Linked DNA regions of Oryctolagus cuniculus. The protein of the gene in region 1 purifies or fractionates together with the protein of each later gene. This does not show direct contact. Links are inferred from orthologs where the notes say so. Each region holds a gene or a part of one and is shown on either strand. Other genes may lie near its edges.

The links.
Region 2: the proteins of CDK5 (region 1) and CABLES2 purify together in Homo sapiens (affinity purification with mass spectrometry; 6 studies listed by BioGRID and IntAct, with this or other methods). This does not show direct contact. The link is inferred for Oryctolagus cuniculus from reciprocal best matches to the Homo sapiens genes CDK5 and CABLES2.
Region 3: the proteins of CDK5 (region 1) and CCT3 purify together in Homo sapiens (affinity purification with mass spectrometry; 3 studies listed by BioGRID and IntAct, with this or other methods). This does not show direct contact. The link is inferred for Oryctolagus cuniculus from reciprocal best matches to the Homo sapiens genes CDK5 and CCT3.

What each region holds. Positions count from the first base shown.
Region 1 is NC_091438.1:22,759,415-22,763,155, reverse strand, and holds the start of CDK5 (cyclin-dependent kinase 5), read right to left. Parts: upstream 2,705-3,741; 5' UTR 2,588-2,704; coding exon 2,551-2,587; intron 1,946-2,550; coding exon 1,857-1,945; intron 1,771-1,856; coding exon 1,703-1,770; intron 1,595-1,702; coding exon 1,534-1,594; intron 1,430-1,533; coding exon 1,373-1,429; intron 724-1,372; coding exon 628-723; intron 533-627; coding exon 458-532; intron 288-457; coding exon 191-287; intron 20-190; coding exon 1-19. UniProt on the Homo sapiens protein: Proline-directed serine/threonine-protein kinase essential for neuronal cell cycle arrest and differentiation and may be involved in apoptotic cell death in neuronal diseases by triggering abortive cell cycle re-entry. Interacts with D1 and D3-type G1 cyclins.
Region 2 is NC_091442.1:1,014,204-1,017,944, forward strand, and holds the start of CABLES2 (CDK5 and ABL1 enzyme substrate 2), read left to right. Parts: upstream 1-927; 5' UTR 928-943; coding exon 944-1,317; intron 1,318-3,741. UniProt on the Homo sapiens protein: Unknown. Probably involved in G1-S cell cycle transition.
Region 3 is NC_091438.1:42,394,640-42,398,380, reverse strand, and holds the start of CCT3 (T-complex protein 1 subunit gamma), read right to left. Parts: upstream 2,322-3,741; 5' UTR 2,007-2,321; coding exon 1,976-2,006; intron 172-1,975; coding exon 110-171; intron 1-109. Other genes in the region: TSACC (TSSK6-activating co-chaperone protein), read left to right, coding at 2,371-2,389, 3,218-3,277. UniProt on the Homo sapiens protein: Component of the chaperonin-containing T-complex (TRiC), a molecular chaperone complex that assists the folding of actin, tubulin and other proteins upon ATP hydrolysis.

The DNA.
Region 1 (3,741 bases):
CGGCCGGCATTGGCCAGCTCTGTGAGAGGGGCACAGCCGTGACGCACCGCGCACTCCTCACTCCGAGGCACCCCTGCACCTGCCATTCCCGGACCCGAGGGCCCTACTCCCTTCCCCGAGAGGGCACCCTCCAGACCCTGTTTGTCAACCCAGATTGGGGAGAAAGAGCAGAGCCGCCCCAGCACGTCACCTGCGAAGATGCAGCCGGCTGACCACATGTCGATGGACGTGGAGTACAGCTTGGCCCCAAAGAGGACATCCGGTGGGCGGTACCACAGCGTGACCACCTGGAGAAGACCCCACCCACAGGGACGCCCTCCCGTTTAGAGGGCTGGGACGGAGGGTGGAGAGGGGAGCTCAGAGAAGAGAGGGCACTGTCTCGGGTTGGTCATGGAGCAGGAGCTGAAAAACACCAGGGACTGCTCCCCTCAACTCCAAATCCCACCCCCCAGCTCACCTCAGCTGAGTAACAGCGGACAGGAATCCCAAAGGCTCGAGCCAAGCCGAAATCGGCCAATTTCAGTTCCCCATTCTGGGGGGAGACGGGAGGGAGGCACGGCACGGGGCTGTTAAACGTCTCAGGGCAGGCTCCTGCCCCCTGCCCTCCCCTTCTCCCCTGAGCAGTACCCTGTTTATGAGCAGGTTCTGGGGCTTTAGGTCTCTGTGCAGCACGTTGCGGCTGTGACAGAATCCCAGGCCTTTCAGCAGCTGGAAGAGGAATGACTAGAGAGGGGCAGAGGGGACAGAGTCAGACACCCTGGCTACGAGGTGATGCCAGCCATGGGCATGCTCCCTGCCTCACCCTCAGCTTTGTTCCATGTCCTACCCAATCCCCAGCACCAAGCTCAGGACAACACTATATGCACTCACTGCCGAGGGTTGGCTTTGCAGCCCGTACAGCAGGAAACAAGTGGCTCTGCTCCCTGCCCTTCCAGACCTTATAGCCCGATAGGCCTTCTGCCTTCCCAGCCCATGCCTCTCTCCCCTACCTGGCTGGACCTGAGTGTACAGTCTGTCACCATCAACATGGATATTGTGCTCTGGGATGGTTCAGGACCTGACTCCCCTGGAACCTGGGCCAAGGCACTTGGTCTCGGGCCTAGTACTCTCAGCAAATGTTTGTTGATTAAATGAGTGTAGCTCTTTGGGTGGAAATAGCCGTTGGCCTCAGAGTGTCACTATACAGGTCCAAGGAGGCCATGTGGAAATGCTGGCTAAGCCCGGAGGCCCCTGGAGGGCAGGAGCAGGTTTGCTCTTTCTCTGACACCCCCCCCCCAGAAAGTCCCTGATTTGTGCCTAAACAGGAGAGCTGACACTGCATACAGACCGGAACCCCAGCCCCGAAGAGCCCCCAGAACACCCTTCCCCTCACCTTCACAATCTCAGGATCGAGGTCACCATTGCAGCTGTCAAAATACTTCTTGAGGTCCTGTCAAGGGATGCAGCGGGGGAACAGGACAGAGGTGAACCTCCGTCTGGGCCCCACACCCTCCCAAGCCTGCTCCCTTTCAGCCCACCCCCATCCCCTTTCACCTGGTCACAGAACTCAAAAACCAAAGTCAGCTTCTTGTCACTATGCAGGACATCGTGAAGCCTACGGAGAAGCAAGGGCTGAGCCAGGCAGGTCTGCACGTCTGCACCACCCCAACCAGGCTGAAGCCCCCTCCTCCTCCACCTGCAGGGCCCCCTGCCCCCTCCACACCTGACAATGTTCTTGTGCTTCAGCTCCTTAAGCAGGCAGATCTCCCGGAGGGCTGAACTCGGCACACCCTGCACAGCGAGGGAGCAGCAGTCAGATCCCACTCACCCCAGGCCTCCTCATCTGCCACTCCCTGCCCTGGTGTCCCCGGTCCTACCTCGTCATCGTCATCCAGCCTCACGCGTTTCAGAGCCACGATTTCGTGAGTCTCTCGGTTTTTGGCCTTGAACACTGTTCCGTAAGTGCCTAAGGGGAGGAGGTCATAGATGAGGGGGAGGATGCGGCACCCTCCCCATCCCCAGGAAATGGGGAGGGGGAAGGGCACTTGAGTGTGTAAGGGAAAGGCTTCAGGGTGAGGGGCAGGCTTGCAAGAGCTTTGTAAGTGAGGACGCTGCAGGGTAGGGAAGGCCTAAAGGTTGAGGCTCCAGGGTCTGAGCCGGAGGCCAGGGTAAGGACAGCGCTAATAAGGGCGGCACTCCGGGAGGTCTGGCCATAGCAGGACTCTGGGAGAGAACTGAGGGCCTGCAGAAATGTCAAGGCTGAAGATCTGCTGGGGTCCGGGTGAGGATGTGCAAGTGGTGCTGAAGCTAGGCGTGGGAAACGCAGGACGTGCCGCGGCTGGGAGGTCGGCTCCACAGGGAGGCTAACGTTGGGAGTGGGAGTCCGCGGAGAATGCTAACACGGGCAGGGCTGGTGTCTGCACGGAGTGCTGAGCTTGGGGGCCAGGGCTGCAAGCCAGTGCTGAGGTCGGAGCCTGCAGGTACCGCAGACTACGGGAGAGCCTAGGCTGCAAGGAATCCCGAAGGGTCTGCAGAAGAAGATCTTGCAGGAACATCTCGTGGTTCTATTACCTTCCCCAATCTTCTCCAGCTTCTCGTATTTCTGCATCACGGCAGCCGCGGGGACCCCTGCGGGCCCTGGGTTCTAAGACTCCGGCCCCGGCGTTGCAGAGGAGGCGGCACCCCAGCCTCCGGCCCCGCCCCGCCTCCTGTCTGCGCATGGCCTTCTGGGGCTTGTAGTCCTAGGACGGCCAGGTTTCCCAGCGGTGTCCGGAGACTCGGGCAAGAGGACTACAGCCCCCAGCAGGCTGCGCTAAGGTCCTCTGCAGCACTCGACTCCCGGGACTCCGGTTCGACCGCGGAGGCAAACCCTGGACTCCAAGTCCCAGAAAGCATCACGCGTCCGCTCCTTGGGCGTCCCCACCGTGACGCCACGGTTCCCAGTGTGCCCCGCTCTTGTTACTCCTTTTCTGTGTGCCTTCTTGAAAAGGGTCGCTCTGGGACTACGCGTTCCAGAATGCGGCGGGGTGGGGGTAGGGCGCCCTCGGGTTGAGGTCTGGCGGCCCAGATCCGGGACCTAGTGGCTCAGCTCTGACCTGGTTGGTGATGATGAGTTCCGAGCGACCTCAGCGCGGGTTTCCACCTCGCCCCAGGCCTCCCAGTGACCTCAAGGTTGATTGGGGAATAGGAACGATGACCTCACAGGGACCAGCTGACCCCAGGGCTGGGTAGAGGCAGGTGTTTGCCATTTCTGGCTGGATTGGAAGGGTGACTTCTCCCTCTGCTGGACCTCATCTGTCGTCTCGGAGCCCATGATGAGGCGAGCCGGCTGGAGCCCTGGGAGTCCCCCCAGATCCCAGTCTTCCGAGCAGAGCCCACTGGAGGCAGTAAGGGTGTGGCCCACGAGGGCTGACAGGTTGGTTACCCCCTCTACAGACAAGACCACAGACAGATGCTACACTTACAGCAGCCTTTACCTCATCCCTTACGGCAGTTGATTATAGATTTTCCTGTGCTGCTCTCTAATTGTCTCATGATTGCATTCTTCCGGGCTGTGAACTGGACGAAAACAGCCCCAAATAGCACTCCGCAGCCAGGAACCAGAACTGGTGCTGACAATTTGTGGATTAATTCCTTTATATCAGAATGCTTTCGCATACACAATGCTGTGCTTCACCCACGTGGCAGACTAAAAAAACAAAAAAGTATATAATCCTTACCTAAACGCATTTTTAATTGAGAAAACAAGATGGCACACAAGTT
Region 2 (3,741 bases), on another chromosome or scaffold:
CCGCGCATAGCTACTCCAGCCCCAGCCCTGCCCTCCACAAGCCGTCCGGGACCGGCCAGAGGCCTCAAAGGCCAGTTGGAGGAGCAGAGAGGAAAGCAGACGAGACTGGACCCCGGCTGGTCACCGAGGGAGGGGGCTGCCAAGGCGGGAGGTGGCTCAGGAAAGTGTCCCCCCCCACCTCCCCCGTGGCCTGCAGCTGCTGCCGCCCACACCCCCCAGGGCCAGTCCCTGGCCCCCAGCATGGCAGAGGTGTGCAGTGACCACCACCGGGGCTGCCCAGCCCTCCTGTGCGGGCAAACCCCGCAGCCAGAGCCAGCTGCACCCGACGACAGCCCCAGGTGGCAGTGGCCGTCCCCACTGTGAGTGACACAGGCTGCAAGCAGACACAGGTGGGCGCCGGCGCAGGTGTAGGCGGGAAGCCTGGGCAGCCGCCCACTCCCCTCAGACCCTGGCTCTTCTAAGCGAACGAGGGAAGCCGGTGGCAAGGGGGGGTTACCGACCCACGCCCGCCACGCTCACGGGAGGACACCGAGGCACACCGACGTCCCCCAGGCTGGGGCCTGCCCACGCCGCAAACGGGGAGGCACACCGCGCACGCCACAGCCCGGCGCCCCCGCAGCTCTCGAGGCGGGATCTGAACCCGCGCAACCGCTCGCTGCCCTGGGCGGCTTCCGGCTCCCCGGGGCCGAGCCCCAACTCCCTCTAAGACCCAGGGGAGCGCCCGCTGGCACGGCGCCCGCCGCGGCAGTGGTGGCCAATGGGCGGGCGCGCCGGAGGTAGATTTACATACGGGCGCGCCGCCGCCAATGGGAAGCAGGCGGCACGCTCGAGGGGCGGCCGCGGCCGCGCTGGCCAATGGGCGGGCGCGCCGAGGAGGCATTTGCATGCGGGCGCTCCGCGGCCAATGGGCGGCGGGCGGCGGCGCGGGCGGCTCACTCGCAGGATGGCCGCGGCCGCGGCGGGTGGAGCCCCGGGCCCGGCCCCCGGCCCCGCCGCGGCGCCGCCGGCCCCGGCCGCCCGGAACCCGCCGCCGGCGCTGCGGAGGCGCGGGGACTCGCGGCGCCGCCAGGCCGCGCTCTTCTTCCTCAACAACATCTCCCTGGACGGGCGGCCGCCCAGCCTGGGCCCGGGCGGCGAGAAGCCCCCGCCGCCGCCGCCGCCGCTGCCGCCGCCCGCCGAGGCCCGCGAGCCGCCCGCGCCGCCGCCCGCGCCGCCCGCCGGCCTCCCCGGGCTGCCTGCCAGGACCCCCGCGCCCCAGGGCCTCCTCAGCCCCACGCAGGCCCCCGCCGGCCTGGGGCTGGACGGGCCGCGCCAGAGGTGAGTGGGGGCCGGAGGGCGGGGCAGCCCCGGACCCGGGGGTCGAGGGCCCAGGGGGTGCGGGTGGCCTGGCGCCCTGTCACCCCAAGGCGAGGGAGTGAGGTGGCCCGGGAGCCCGTCAGCCTAGAACACCGAGGTGGGCCGACCCGGCCGTGAGGGCGGACACAGGGGTTGGGGTGACCCGGGGACCTGTTAGCCCCGGGCTCGGGGTTTGGGGCCGCCTGAGGCCTTCTGAGCCCTGGACGGAGTTGGGGTGCCCTGGGGCTGCCGGCTGCAGACATAGGGCCGGGGGCGCCCTTAGCTCTGAGCCCCACCTGGAGACGCCCGGACACAGGTGCGGCAGCTCTCAGCACTGCCCCTCCCCCACGCGCTTGGCCCCTGCCCTGGAGTCTGGCCCCCCCTCCGTGTGCCCCTCTGCATTTGCACCTCGTGGGCCGGGGTCTTCCCCATGCCGTTCCTCTGCCCTCCGCACTGCGCGGGACCCCCAGTGCCCACCGCGGCCAGCGTCCTGGGGCTGGCCCTGCAGCACATGGCCCTGGCCAGAGGGGCCTGGCGGACAGGCGCCCGTGCCCTTCCAGGTCGCTCTGGGCCTGCTGACCCCGCAGCCCGGGGTCACGGCGCAGACCGAGCCAGGGAGAGGCCTCTCGGTGGCCCCTCCCTGGGTTGCAGGGGCGCTGTCCTCACCTGGAGGTCATTGGCCGCACTGGCCGTCCTGGCGTGGCAGCCAGGGGCTGGGGGCGGCCGCGTCCAGAGCACAGCGCTCGCGGGGGTCCTGCCCCGCCTGGCCTTGGCTCCCAGGCCCCGCCCGCCGCTGCCTGGCCAGACGGGGGCCAGACCCCCGCCGCGGGACCGCGCACAGCCTTCGGGATGTGGCTGCCGCGCCCGTGTGCTTGCCCCGCACGGCACGGCACTCCTGGGGGACGAGCCCGCTCCCGGGGGACGGGGCCGTCGTGACTGACGGGGCCGTGACTGACGGGGCCGTGACGGGGGCCGTGACGGGGGCTGTGCTGGGGGCCGTGCTGGGGGCCGTGCTGGGTGCAGGCCCGGGTTCAAATCCTGCTTCACCACTCACAGCCCTGTGGCCTTGAGCAGCTGACTGGCCGGGGCCTCTGCTCTGTGAGCCCCACTGTGTGACCCCACTGTGTGAGCCGGGTTTGCCTTGGGCACTTCCTCCCGGCCGGGCGTTGGTCTCTGGCCGTGAGGCTCTGTCTCGCATGTGGCGTGTTCTGCGGAACCAGGAACAGTCTCCACCCAGGCGTCCTGACTTCCATGGACCCTCTGACACTACTTGCCTCCATTTTTTTTTTTTTTTAATTTATTTGAAAGTCAGGGTTAGAGAGAGAGAGAGAGAGAGAGAGAGAGGTCTTCCATCCGCTGGGTCACTCCCCAGATGAGTGCAACAGCCAGAGCTGTGCCAAACCGGAGCCAGGAGCTTCCTCCAGGACTCCCACGTGGGTGCAGGGCCCAAGGACCCGGGCCATCCTCCACTGCTTTCCCAGGCCACAGCAGAGAGCTGGATCGGAAGTGGAGCAGCCGGGACTCGCACCGGCGCCCATATGGGATGCCGGCACTGCAGGCAGAGGCTTAGCCGACTGTGCCACAGCCCGAGAGCAGGCCGGGTCTGGGGTGGGCCGGGCCTCACGGCCGGTGCTCTGCCCTGCTCCCGGGCTGCTGTCTCTCCCTGGGGGCCCGTGTGTGACTCAGGAGCCTGCAGACCGCTGACCACGGGTCCTCGCCCGGTCCTGGAGACCAGCGTCAGGTCCCCGCGTCGAAGGCGGCGCTCCCAGTGCAGCGTGGGGACGTCCTCCAGGCCGTGTCCCTTCCGTGGGACGTCTGCCCCGTGTCTGTTTTCCTCAGGCACTGGTCAGTGCCTTAGCGGCCCCCCGCACCACATCCTGCTCTGCACCCCCGCTGAGGCCCCGCCTCCAGACGTGGGCCGTGCACACATACTGGGGTCAGGGCCTCCGCCTGTCTTTTTGGAGGACGCGGTTCAGCCACAGCACTAACAGGGACAAGGTGACATCTGCACGGTGAGTGACCGCACACTCAGCCACGTGTGGCCACGCACAGCGCAGGGGCGCAGCCGGGAGGCGAGAGGGCTGGGCTGCACAGTCTCCGAGGAGGACACGGCTGCGGCCGTAGGAGCGCCCAGGAGTCACTGGGCATCCCCGAGTGCCCGTCCATCCCACTGGGCGTCCCCGAGTGCCCGTCCGTCCCACTGGGCGTCCCCGAGCGCCCATCCACCCCACTGGGCGTCCCCGAGCGCCCGTCCATCCCACTGGGCGTCCCCGAGCGCCCGTCCATCCCACTGGGTGTCCCCGAGCACCCGTCCACCCCACTGGGCGTCCCCGAGTGCCCGTCCATCCCACTGGGTGTCCCCGAGCACCCGTCCACCCCACTGGGCGTCCCCGAGTGCCCGTCCGT
Region 3 (3,741 bases), about 20 Mb from region 1:
AAAAAAAAAAGTATAGATTCACCAGAAACTTACTGCTACAAGCAAATACAGAAATAGGAGGGAAGACAGCTGGAGGCAGACAACCACAGACACGTAGAAGACATGCTACCTTGGCAGCATTGATGTTTCCAGACTGAACTTTTCTTCCAGATTCACGTTTTGTGTTCTGGCCTAAAACAGGTAAAAACAATGTTAAGAGCCCAGGAGTGCCCCAGTGTACACGAGCTAGAAAATGAAAATAAGCACACGGAGTTCACCATGTAGACACAGAACAAAGCTCATCGAATGGCACATCTTAAATATGTGCAGTTTCTGTCAATTAGACCTCAGCAAACTGACAAGTATACACACTTGCGGCTATTTAGCGGCTATTTACTTGTTTATTTCAATCCCGGGCGCACTAAGGAATAACCCATCATGCTCCCTCCAACTCTGGAAGCTTGGTCAACACGTTCCTCCCAAGCATCCACCTATTTCCAGCAGGGATTCATAACCTAAGACCCACGGATAGGTCTCTGGGGTGGTGAACTCCCTGAGGTTCTGTGAGAGGAAAGGAGAGGCAGCAGGGCTTTTCCTGGCAACAGAATCCACAGCTATGATGAGGTCCCCAAAGGGCTGGCAACCCCAAGGAAGTACCAAGCACTGCTTCTCGTAAAGAGGCAAAGAGCTCTGGGGTCCTTTCTTCCAGCGTGGAGCGGGGGAACTGCACTCTGACAGCACATTACAACGTGCTGGGCAGTGAGAGCCAATCTGTGGTGATAAGAACACTTTCTTTAAAGGTGTCTCAGCCTGCAGGACAAATTATAGTTGTCCCCTTATCATCAGTAAGAGCTAACTACATATTTTAATAGGGAGCCTAACTGGTTACAACCACTAACGCCAGGGATTAACCCAGACCTGTCAAGAGCTTTACAAATGCACACCACTCACCCAGGCCCAGTGGCTGTCACCACCCGACATCATGCTTACCCCCCACCCCCAAACTATACCTTCCCCTACAACTTAAGTCTGTAATCTTTCCATCTAGTCCCATCAAATGTGAACATCCATTTAACATTTCCATGCTCACTCTGCGTAACCAAGACCTTATAGGGACCCACAGCCCATAAGAAAAAAATAGGATTTTTTTTCTCCTTAAGTTATTTCTCAGGTATAGAGAAAAAGAAGGAAAACTCTGTCAACAAAAGGTAAGGGAGAGGATCCTAGGCGGTCCTGCAGATGGGGGGGTGTGGGTGGGGGGGGGCATCAGTGACACACAGCGCGGAAACCTGCCGAGTAGGGCAGAAAACCGAGGTGGAGACCCTCAGGCAGACATAAACGGGACACTCCCAAAAGGGGGGCGGGAACCAGTGGAGACTAGAGAACTCGGTCAGCGGGAACCATCGCACCCTCTTCGCCCCGCGAGGGAGGCAGGGTTACAGCCGAACACGGGCTGTGCTTAAAAGAAACGTGAAGTGACCAAGGATGCCACCCGCTATCTGCCAGACCCTCACCTAAGCCGTCTGCCAGGAGATACTACTAACCCCGCGACCCAGGCGGAAACGCTTGCGTGGAGTAAGCTGCTCGAGGTCACGCTGCTACTTAAGGGATGAGCCAAGGATACAAGGCCAGGCCGGACCCCCCCACCCCGCAAAAAAAAGCACCACTCATTGAACCACTCGGTGAAACCATGATGGAAAGGGTGCAGAGGCGTGGAGCGGGGTCGGGCGCGGGAGGCGAGCACGGAGAGGGGGCTTCCCGAGACCCGCACACGTGAAGACCAGGGCCTCGGCGTCGGGAAGGTCAGTTTCCGTTAGGGAAGAGAGGCGAGCGCCAGGGAGAGAGGGGAGCGGACGAAGGGGCTTCCAAAATGAAGACGATGACCGGAAAGCTCGGTGGCTGGGTCAGGGCGGAACCCGGCGGGGGGAGCCCCGAAAAAAGTGCGGAGGGAGGCGGGCGAAAAAGGGGTCTCTTCCCCAGCTGCCCCAAAACTCACTGAGCACGAGCACGGGACGATGGCCCATCATGGCGGCGCGATGGAGAGCCGGGCACCCAGAGCTGAAAGAACCGGCAGAACCTTCTGGAGAGCGAGAAGCTGAGAGAAGCCCAGAAAACGCTGCCTCCCCGGGGCTTACACCTAAACCCGCTACCTTGCGGGTCGCCTCCAATCACCGCATCTATCTCATTGACCGGCATGAAAACAGGCCAATCGACAGCCTTGGCCCCGCCCCCTACGCAGGAACGGCAGGGCAAGCTAGATAGAGAGAGCGCGATGATGGCAATAGGCAGGCATAGGCGCTTGCGCAACAGGGTGGCCGCTCCCGACCGCGTGCGGCGCGAACAACGGCGCAGGCGCTGAGGCTCGGGCCGTTGGCCCGCATACTACGGAGCATGCGTATCAACTACAGGGGTGGGTGCTGGGGTTGAGGCTTTCGACTAACACCGCAGGTGAAGTCATTAAAAATGTGTGCTACCCCGTGGCGTCTGTCAGACAGTGAAGGTCAAGAAAGGCTTGAGGGTTCCCACTTTCTTCCTCCAGCCTTATCAACAGGGAGGAACAGCAGGGAGGCGGAGGGCAGAGCGGGCCGGTTTGATGAAGGGTGATGTGGGAGTTGTAGTCCTGTTGGCGCCGGGCGGGGCCCACGGTCCTTTTTCTAGGCACGCTGGGAATTGTAGTTTATCTCCTCTTAAGACGCGTGGCTGTGCTTTGGACCTTGCCTTTCTTGGGCAAATGCCTTTGATTGAGGCTGCCATCGGGACCAGAGCGTGGTGGCTTGTGTTTCATCCTATTTAAAACATTTTCTCAAGTAGTGCTTTGAGATTTTTCTTTCCCCATCCCGATGCCTGCCCTGTCCTCATTGGACCCTGGTCCTCCAGAGACAATGGGGGGAACCCGAGTTTTTAAATGACTGTGCTGGACAAGGAAAGGACTGAATACAATGGAAATTAAATCTGTAAAGAACACGGAGAACCATTCCCCGATCGTAGGAAACTCGAGGTTCGAGTTGGATTAAATTACTATTTTCCAGGAAAAATTGAAATAATTTTTCCCAATTAGCGAAGGGACTAAGAGCATAAACCATTCCAGTCACTTTTATTGGGGCATGAAATAAAATACGCCGTTCACACGTCTTCCTCGGCAAACTGGAGCAGCTGGCTCTGCTGGAGAGAGCTTGGGAAAGTCAGCAGGCAGAGTCGCGAGGGTGTTTGACGATGCGATGCTGTGATTCTCCCACAGGCCCCACACCTGTTGGTGTTCAGATGGAGCAGTCCACTAGTCACCCGCCAGACGGAAAAGGTGCGTGTCCCAGGCCCTTGCTCCCCTCCCTGGCCACTTAGCGTTTGGGGAGGTGATTCTAGGCTTATGGGTGCCAGGCGTATGTTCCGTGGTTAGTTGGGAAGTATAAATGGGAACTTTGCTGTGTTCCAAGTGCCTAGCACTGGATCTGTTAAATAACAGAAGCTCAATAATTGCATATTGCATGAATGTATTCTTCCTTGGTATCTCCTCTTGATACCTGGAACAAGACTTTGTATGTGGGTATCTCAGTTGAAGTGGGACAGTCCCGCCAGTGGTCCAGGAGCTGCCCAAGGCTGTCTCCGTAACTGTAGGTAGAGTGGCTCACTTTATCTGAGAAACTGCTTTGTCAGGGCTTGGACAGGAATTAACCAGCTCTTCTCGTGGAGTATATGGTGCAGTAGTAAGGAGCATGATTTTGCAGTCTACAGGCCCAGGTTTTGGGTTTTTTAAAGATTTATTTT